Nothobranchius furzeri: one gene and its partner. The protein of the gene in region 1 interacts with the protein of each later gene in a biochemical or structural test. Links are inferred from orthologs where the notes say so. Each region holds a gene or a part of one and is shown in the gene's direction. Other genes may lie near its edges. The genes, in order: htr2aa and arf6b.

Evidence for each region.
Region 2: the proteins of htr2aa (region 1) and arf6b form a complex in vitro, tested with the Homo sapiens proteins (2 studies listed by BioGRID). The link is inferred for Nothobranchius furzeri from reciprocal best matches to the Homo sapiens genes HTR2A and ARF6.

What each region holds. Positions count from the first base shown.
Region 1 is NC_091754.1:35,558,510-35,562,777, reverse strand, and holds the start of htr2aa (5-hydroxytryptamine receptor 2A), read left to right. Parts: upstream 1-1,350; 5' UTR 1,351-2,640; coding exon 2,641-3,055; intron 3,056-4,268. UniProt on the Homo sapiens protein: G-protein coupled receptor for 5-hydroxytryptamine (serotonin).
Region 2 is NC_091758.1:32,007,422-32,011,520, forward strand, and holds arf6b (ADP-ribosylation factor 6b), read left to right. Parts: upstream 1-1,171; 5' UTR 1,172-1,293; intron 1,294-1,507; 5' UTR 1,508-2,135; coding exon 2,136-2,663; 3' UTR 2,664-3,285; downstream 3,286-4,099. UniProt on the Homo sapiens protein: GTP-binding protein involved in protein trafficking that regulates endocytic recycling and cytoskeleton remodeling. GTP-bound form plays an important role in the transport of multiple palmitoylated proteins form the Golgi to the plasma membrane.

The sequences.
Region 1 (4,268 bases):
CCAACAAATTGTCGTGACCCGGAAGTATCTCACAGACTGGACTGATCGGCAACCGCTGCTTTTCCTACCAGCTCGGTTCCAGAAAAGGTCAAGCTGGACCTCGACATTCCTGATCGAGACGGGGACTTCCACCAGGGTAAGTAGACCGGCAAATGGCGTTGAATGTGTTTATGAATCTCCCAACCAAAGCTTAACGCAAAGACATCACCTTCAGTTCCCATGAGAACTAATCGCTTCTTCGGATTTGCTGGTTCTGAACAACATTCCACATCACCCCATTCACCGTCACATCCACCTTAGTTACACCATACATGTAGTGTTTAAAGTTAGTCTAGTTTTCATTGTAAGTAATAAAATTCTTAACTTTTAAACTCGACTCTCTCCTCTGTATTCTCTGAGTGAATACGAAGCTGTTATCTAATCTCTGCATTAAAAAGTTTCAATCTTCTGGTTAAAAATAACCTCACAGATCCGTAAGGTGGATTTCATATTTCCTATGGAATTCTACGCCTTATGGCTTATTAAATAACATGTCATTTAAATCATTACATTATAAACCACAATAACACCCTGCGGCTGAGATTTTAACCTATCAACGAGTGCCCTTTGAAGGGTTAACTGAAATCTCTCAACAATCAGAAACGTCTCCTTCTGTTCCTGGAGGGAAAACTCGGAATGCTGAGCTGTTTCTGGGACTGGATCCATGTCCAGACACCACTGCACATTTACAACAAAGAAGAGACAAACCTTCTTACCCTGAATGCAACTTAAATGTCATGAAAAGATTAGAAACATGAGTGATTCACAGAACAAACCCACTTAGTAGCTCAGTAGGTAGAGTGGGTTGTCCAGCAGGTTCCATCCCAGCTCCCACCTGAGAATGCTGCTGTTGTGTCCTTGGGCAAGACACTTAACCTGCTGGTGGAGTTTGGAGGGACCGGTGGCACCTGTGTACGACCGTCCCACTTCTGTCAGTGCGCCCCAGGGCAGCTGTGGCTACGTTGTAGCTCATCATCACCAGCATGTGAATGTGTGTGTGATGGATGATTGTATTGTGAAGCACCTTGGGGGTTGTAGAACCCTAAGAAGGTGCTACACGAATACAGGCCATTTACCATTTTAGTTCCCACAGCTGGCTTGGACGGAAGACTGGGATAAGTTTCCTTCTAAAGTGACGTTTAGTCACCAGTCAGCTTTGAGAGAAACCTTAAACAGTCTCACCAGGGACCACTGCTTGCTTAAAACATGCAAATGCTCAAGTCTCTTGCCTCATTGGGGCAGCTGAGTCGTCTTCATCTCATTTCATGACTAAAAGGGATTTTTTTACTAGAATTTCAAGAGTCAGGATTTACAAACAGCTTTAGTCATTGTGTATTTAGATCTGATAATCCCAGTGAAGCCTTCAGATCTAAATTTGAACGGAGCGATGAGATTTACAGAATGAGAGCGAGAGCAAGAGAGACTTGACAGAAAGAGAGAGAGAGAGAGCCAGCCAATACGATAGAAGGGAGAGAGACCTTGAGTAGAAACAGAGTGAGAGAGAGCAGGAGATCCCCACAGAGAGGAAGAGAGGCTGCCTGTGAAAAGCAGCGTGACGAGAGGCAAAGCGGAGAAGCTTCAGCTCCTGGTCACCGCTAAAGACGACTAACAAGCTGACACTTGTGAAGAACTGGAAACCTCTTCAGTCTGCTGATCGGTCCCAGAGAAGAGAGGGCTCTTCTCTCGTTCCTCATTCCTGTTTTTCTTTGATTTTTGAAAAGTCAAGACCTGGAGGTACACACCATGTGAAAGAATGACAGAACACTCGGATCTTTGGAAGACTCGGCTGAAGAGTGGCTGACATTTTCCACCACAGACTGAATGTCAGCAGGAGGAAGACAAACTAGAACATGTATCACCTCTGGAGGGTTTGGTCCACAGGAAGTGTGTGAGGGGACAAAGGATGGCAACGTTAGTGACACATGGACAAACGTGTGTCAAGTTTGATCACGCTCGCCATCCATCACCGTCATCCTCACACACACTCACAGGTGTCGACATAAGTTGATATGAGAGGGTAAGGACGCCCCAGAGTTCACCTGCTCGTCTAACAGCACACACCTCGGACCTACACCTGTAAAGGCATTACTGAAGTATACTTTATCAGGACTTCTGTAACGCAAACATGTAAAGAAATCACCTCACCGGGAAGCTGCTGGAAGCGGGATCTGGATTCCTGACCTTTCACATGGACATCATTGTTTTACCATGGGTGACGGTTTGAAAAGCCCAGACTTCCAGGATCAGGAAACCGTGACTGACATCTTTCAGCTCTCAAACAAATCCCAGAATCAGAAGAGTCGTTTCTTTTCTTGCAGACGTCAGTCACGATCAGATCAACATTTGGATATTTTTTTAGTAACCGGAGCACTTTTCTATCTGTATTATTATCCTTATAATTCTTCCTATTCTAGTTTTCCTTTGGAGAATCATCTGCTGATCACACGAGACATTTGAGGCGCTGGATTAAATGACAGACATGTTGTACGCCTCTGGAATATTTGTTTTATTTTTCTGGAAAAAAGAATCTAAAATGAGAATTTCCTTTCCTCCCTCCTACTGGTGAATCTGGCAGACATCCCGAGGTTGTGAGCCGACACCATGAACTTACGTGGAGCTAACGTGTCAGAGCTGATCTTCAACACCATCAGGACCGTTACCACCTCGGAGTCTAACCCCAGGCCTTCAAATCGACCCGGTAATGCAACAAACTCTGGATGTCACGAGAGCGACGTGGCCCACGCTGTCGTTAACACTCAGTCACACAGCAGCCTGGGAGGACACTTCGGGCCTCAGTGTGCTGGCTTCGAGCCGCCGGTGGAGAAGAACTGGGCGGCCCTGCTGATCCTGGCCGTCGTTGCCGTCACGGTCATGGGAAATATCCTGGTGATCCTGGCCGTTTCTCTAGAGAAAAAGCTGCAAAATGCAACTAACTATTTTCTGATGTCACTGGCAGTGGCTGATATGCTCCTAGGCATCTTGGTCATGCCCGTTTCCATGGTGACCATTCTCTATGGTAAGTGCCACTTGCATTGGGTTTCCTTTGGTTAAAATTTGGTGTGTTGCTTGTTGGGCGGTTCCAACGGACTTCCCACTGTTTTTGATTGATTGTTTGGAGGTAAACAAAGTTCCTGCATGTTGAGGGCTTTCCTCACTCCCCAGTCTAACAGTGTATTTTCTGTTTACATCACTGGGTCTGTGTTTATCTCTGTGGTGAAGCCTAACCTCCGTCCGAACAGTCGAGTCAGAATGCATGCATGACGGCGGTGGTGGAGGACAGATGGGGAGCAGCAGTGATGGAGGTGGCCAGTCCTGTTGTTGACTGTTTGTGTGGCATGCTGCTTTACTGGAAAAAGAAAATGGCAAAGCCTATCATTACTCAGATGGGATTGCAACAGAAAGAGTTTCCATTAGTCCCCTGCAGGTTCTGCTCTTGTGAACACCCGCTCTCCTCCCCATCATCTCAAAGACCTCTGTAAGTAGGACCCTCAGCGCAAATGAGAGTGTTCAGCTTCCATGTTTGCCCTGAAACCATGCATATATGTCTATGTGTCTGTAAGAAATGTAATAACATCCGAGATGTGACACAGATTCTCTGCATTAATAACACATGTTTCTACTTTGAAAGAGCACACACAGCTTTCTAAGAGTCACGCAGCACATGCTCACATCGACTAGTGTGACTGAAAGGGAGGCAGGCTCTGCTCTACTCTGCACTTTACTGTTGTGTAACACTTGCTGCTACAACAGGTAATTACTTATTTATAAACAACCAAAGGATATTTGCATCATATGTTTTGCTGTATCTTCGTGTTTAAATGGTTATATGAACCCAAGGGTTGTTTGCGCACGCTTGTGTAAAGAAAAGCACTGATTTGACCAAGAGCTCACAGAGATGTGACATGGATTTGGAATTGTTCCAGCCTGGTTCTACAAAGAGGAAATCCCACCTGCAACTGGAACAGTTTCAACACCAGGAGAGCCTCTGATCCTTCTTCAGGACTAGCCTTGTACTGCCTCAGCCCTTTGGCTTCAAATCATTTGGAGCAAGATTATATCAGGAGGAAAAGGAAGCACAGGTTTTCTCAGCGCTGTGTCGACAGATCTGAAGTCTGACTCCCTGAAACTGAAGGTGTGTTGTAGAAGGAAGTCAAGTGTTCTTATATGTTTCTCACCAAGACATAAAGAATGGGTGAGTAATGAGAGACAAAAGGTCTTCTGGTCTTGAA
Region 2 (4,099 bases), on another chromosome or scaffold:
GTTTCATGTGGGTAAGGTTTTCAGCTGTATAGGACAACAAGTGCGTCTTTCCCATTTTTTGTCAAAGGAATCCATGTCTGAATTAGTGTTTTTTTTATTCTTGTGATAATTCGTTTTTTTTATTAGAATAAAAAAAATTATTTTGCTTATTCAAGATTATTTTTCGTGTTGTGTTTTGGAGTTCAATCTGTAGATAATACACATCTGTTCCATTTGATTTAAAGGTGTTTATAAAAACCTCAGTAGATTATTACAAAACCAGGTTCAGTCCAAGAGCCAACACCATCTTTGTAAATTTTCTTTGTCACAGCTCTGGCGCTAAGCCCGCACAACAAACATAGAGTGTTGTGATTGACAAGATACAAAAGTGTTCGGGCCAGTGGTAGACCTGCTGAGGCTACAATGGAGTGTTTCTATACTAACCTGGAATCAAATTATTTTTGCTGCTTCTTTGGTTGGTCTAGATTTTGAGGTTAAGAGAACTGAGCTGTGGGAATGAAGGTAATGACAAACTTTGTCCTAAGAATATGTTCATTTTGAGTAATATTGTTATTGCAATCAAAAATGTGAATTAGACGAGGAAGAAATAACTAGTTGTCTAGTTGTCTTACCATACATGAAGTTTTCCATGAAGATATAACTTTTCCAAATTAAAACATTTAGCAATAGAAAACAAATTGTCTACCATTTTTCTACCATCTAATAAATTCTTTACATTTATTTTTAATACAGTTTGAATTAGACAATAAAGGGCAAATAAAAAAATACGTATATTTGTAAATATCTGAAATGTAAGTTGATTTAATTATAGCCTCACAATTGTTGCTCTTGGTTTAATTTGCTCGAGAGCTAATGAATATAATACAAACGACCTAAGATGGCATCCAACATCTATTGACTGTGAATTCGTGGAAAACATTTTTTTAATTACTGAACTAGAATAAATTACGTTTTGGTTCCTGTCTAACCAATAAATGTTTAACGAAAGCCAAAGCAAAGAAAATAATTGATTGCTATATAACATTTTCCCACTCGCAGTTGAGAATTTATTTATTTGTTTATTTGTTTGTTTTGCTGACAGGTGAAGATGAAAGCAAGTTAAAATGTGTGCAGTTTGATTATGTTATACAACGGCCTGCCAAAAGACGGAACCAGTTTAATGGAGCAGACGAGAGGAAGTGGCTGTTGATGCAGTTCCACACCTTTCCGGTGTAGCAGGAGTGCGGCCAGCTCCAGTTAAAGAAGGAAGACAAGAGCTGAGTAAATTTATCGAGTCTGGAGGGAAATAAACGGGTAAATACCGTACCTTTGCACAAACCAGTATGAAATATGCAACTGTATACTGGGCAATGTGTCACCGATGCGTGTTTTGATGTTTTCATTTCAGTAGTTTACTGCAGCTAACTGGCTATCGCTAGTTAGCTTAGCTAATGCTAGCTGACTAACAGCCACGAGCGATAGCTGGCTAATTTTTCATGTCTGACCCTCCCCCTAAATCTCTTTTCAGTGCGACCAGAGTTTCCTGAGTGGGCCTTTTCTAACCGAGTCACTGGGATTTGTTTCTACCGTAATCGTCCCTTTGAGCGCGGTGTGACCGCCCGTCGCGACCTCCTTTGAAGAAGCCGCATATAGCGGCAGTTTCTCCCCAGGCAGCAGTGTACTGAACAAGGGCGCACCCGGTGAGGAGAACCGCCTCATACAACTAACACCAGGAGAAAATCACCTTCAGCATCGCGGCTTTTTTGGAGGGCCTCTTAACACACGCTGAATATCTCTGTCCCACGGCCAGTGTTTGTCCCAAATAACTTTATTTTTGTTTAGTTTTAAAGACAATGACTAGCCTGCAACTGCTGCTGCCAAGTTCCTAGTCCCACTGTGTCATGCTGTTTGTAGGCTCACGCAGAGGTTTGATCATCTGAACTTTAATGTTTTTGCGCTCAAAAGGATCCTGACAGGCTTCCCGGAAAACTATAGTAATCCTTTTTAGGTTTGAATATGTGTTTTTGATTTTTGGCCCAAATATCCCTTTTTTTTTATTCACGCTTTCACCAATACTGAAATCAAACACCTACAAATACATTATCAGACTTTTTTTTTCCCCTTTGGAACAAAATATTTATGCCCAAGAGTTCAAAATGGGGAAAATGCTCTCAAAGATCTTTGGCAACAAGGAGATGAGAATATTGATGCTTGGACTGGATGCTGCTGGGAAAACAACAATCCTTTACAAACTGAAACTGGGACAGTCTGTGACCACAATCCCTACAGTTGGCTTCAATGTGGAAACAGTCACTTACAAAAACGTCAAGTTCAATGTCTGGGATGTCGGAGGCCAGGACAAGATCCGTCCGCTGTGGCGACACTACTACACAGGCACCCAGGGCTTAATTTTTGTAGTGGATTGCGCAGACAGGGATCGCATAGACGAAGCGAGACAAGAACTTCACCGCATCATTAACGACCGGGAGATGAGAGATGCCATCATCTTGATATTTGCCAATAAGCAAGACCTTCCAGACGCCATGAAGCCACATGAAATCCAAGAGAAGCTGGGTTTGACCCGCATCAGAGATCGGAATTGGTACGTTCAGCCCTCCTGTGCAACCACGGGCGATGGACTGTATGAGGGGCTGACGTGGCTAACCTCAAATTACAAATCTTAATGAGTGCTGACTGTTTTAGGTCAAAGCATCCAAAAAAAGTAACAATTTCTCAAAAAATGTGTACGGTTAAGAAAAATTGATAATCTTCATTTATTTTGTTTATCCCTTGACTAATTTATCTTTAGCTGGGTTTGCTGGCTTAAAGTTTGCTTGTGTTCTGCAGCAGGCCTGAATTACAGTTATTAATGGGGCTTGCTTGAATATTGAAACAATTGGTCCTAAGGTTTAAAGCTATAGAGATCACCACATTTGCCTATTTTCTTCCTGTTTTATATAGTTTATATTATTCTAAGTTTTTAATCTTCATTTTCTGAAGCTGTTATGTCTTTGTTCAAGTCGGATCACTTATTTTTCTTCAACAGTCAGCGCTTTAATGTCGTGTAGCCTACTCGAAGGACTTGGGAAGTTTTGTTAACAGTACTGTGGCAAAAAACAGGAGGGGGTGAAATCTGGAGAGAAAAAAACGACTTTTCAGTCATTAGTCATCAAAGAAAAAACACGTTTTGTTACCCCCTCTGAACTTTTTAAGTGGGCTATCCAGTTAACTGATTGACCATTTTGTGTCATGTCTTGATATCTAATTGTGCTGAGTATTAAACAAATAGGCCACCAGTAACAGAAACATGCTTGTGGAAGTGCATTTTTTAAATGAGGGTAGTTGGCTCAATCTTTCCAAAGGAATGTCATTCAGCTCTGAAATCGCAACCTGATCTCACGGTTGGTTAGTCTCAGTGATTGGGACATTATATGATAGCCTATATCTGTAGCATGAGTACATCAAGTACATTAACCCTACCTACATCAGAGTCCATCTGTCGGTGCAGTCAGGGAGAGCCGTTATCTGGTGAGGTCGACACTCTGGGGTGCAGCGCTTACTCCTGTTTTGACTGGGGAACTGTACACAGAACAATGTCATTGTAATGTATTATTAAAAAAACAATTTTAAATAATTAATGTCTGTTTTATTGTATTTCATCAGGAATTAAAGATGAATCCACTTTAGCTTGTAGCTGATAAATCAGTTTTTAGTCAACTTTTGAGTCTAAAAGCTGGCCTCAGCTCCTTTTGCCAGTGGACGGGGAAAATGTCCCAAACAGGAAGTCCAGCCTCGGCCTTGTCTTGGAGCAAAGCCACATGTCGACTGAAAGGGCAGCGCTGAAAAACAGCTGATGGGGACTGGATTTGAATGCTGCATGTTGGTTTTGAGCCATATCGATGCTAGCAGGAAGTTGTGACGTCCTGAACTTATCTCTCTGAATCCGCTTCAATTCATTAAGATAAGATAATACCTTTTATTTGTGCCTCAATGGGGAAATTGTGTTATTGCAACAGCTCAAGTACAGTAGAATAGCAGCAGTAGCACACGAAAGATAACACACGAGTAGAATTATACGTTAGGATAAGTACTGCACACCGATAGAGGACTTGGAGCTTTC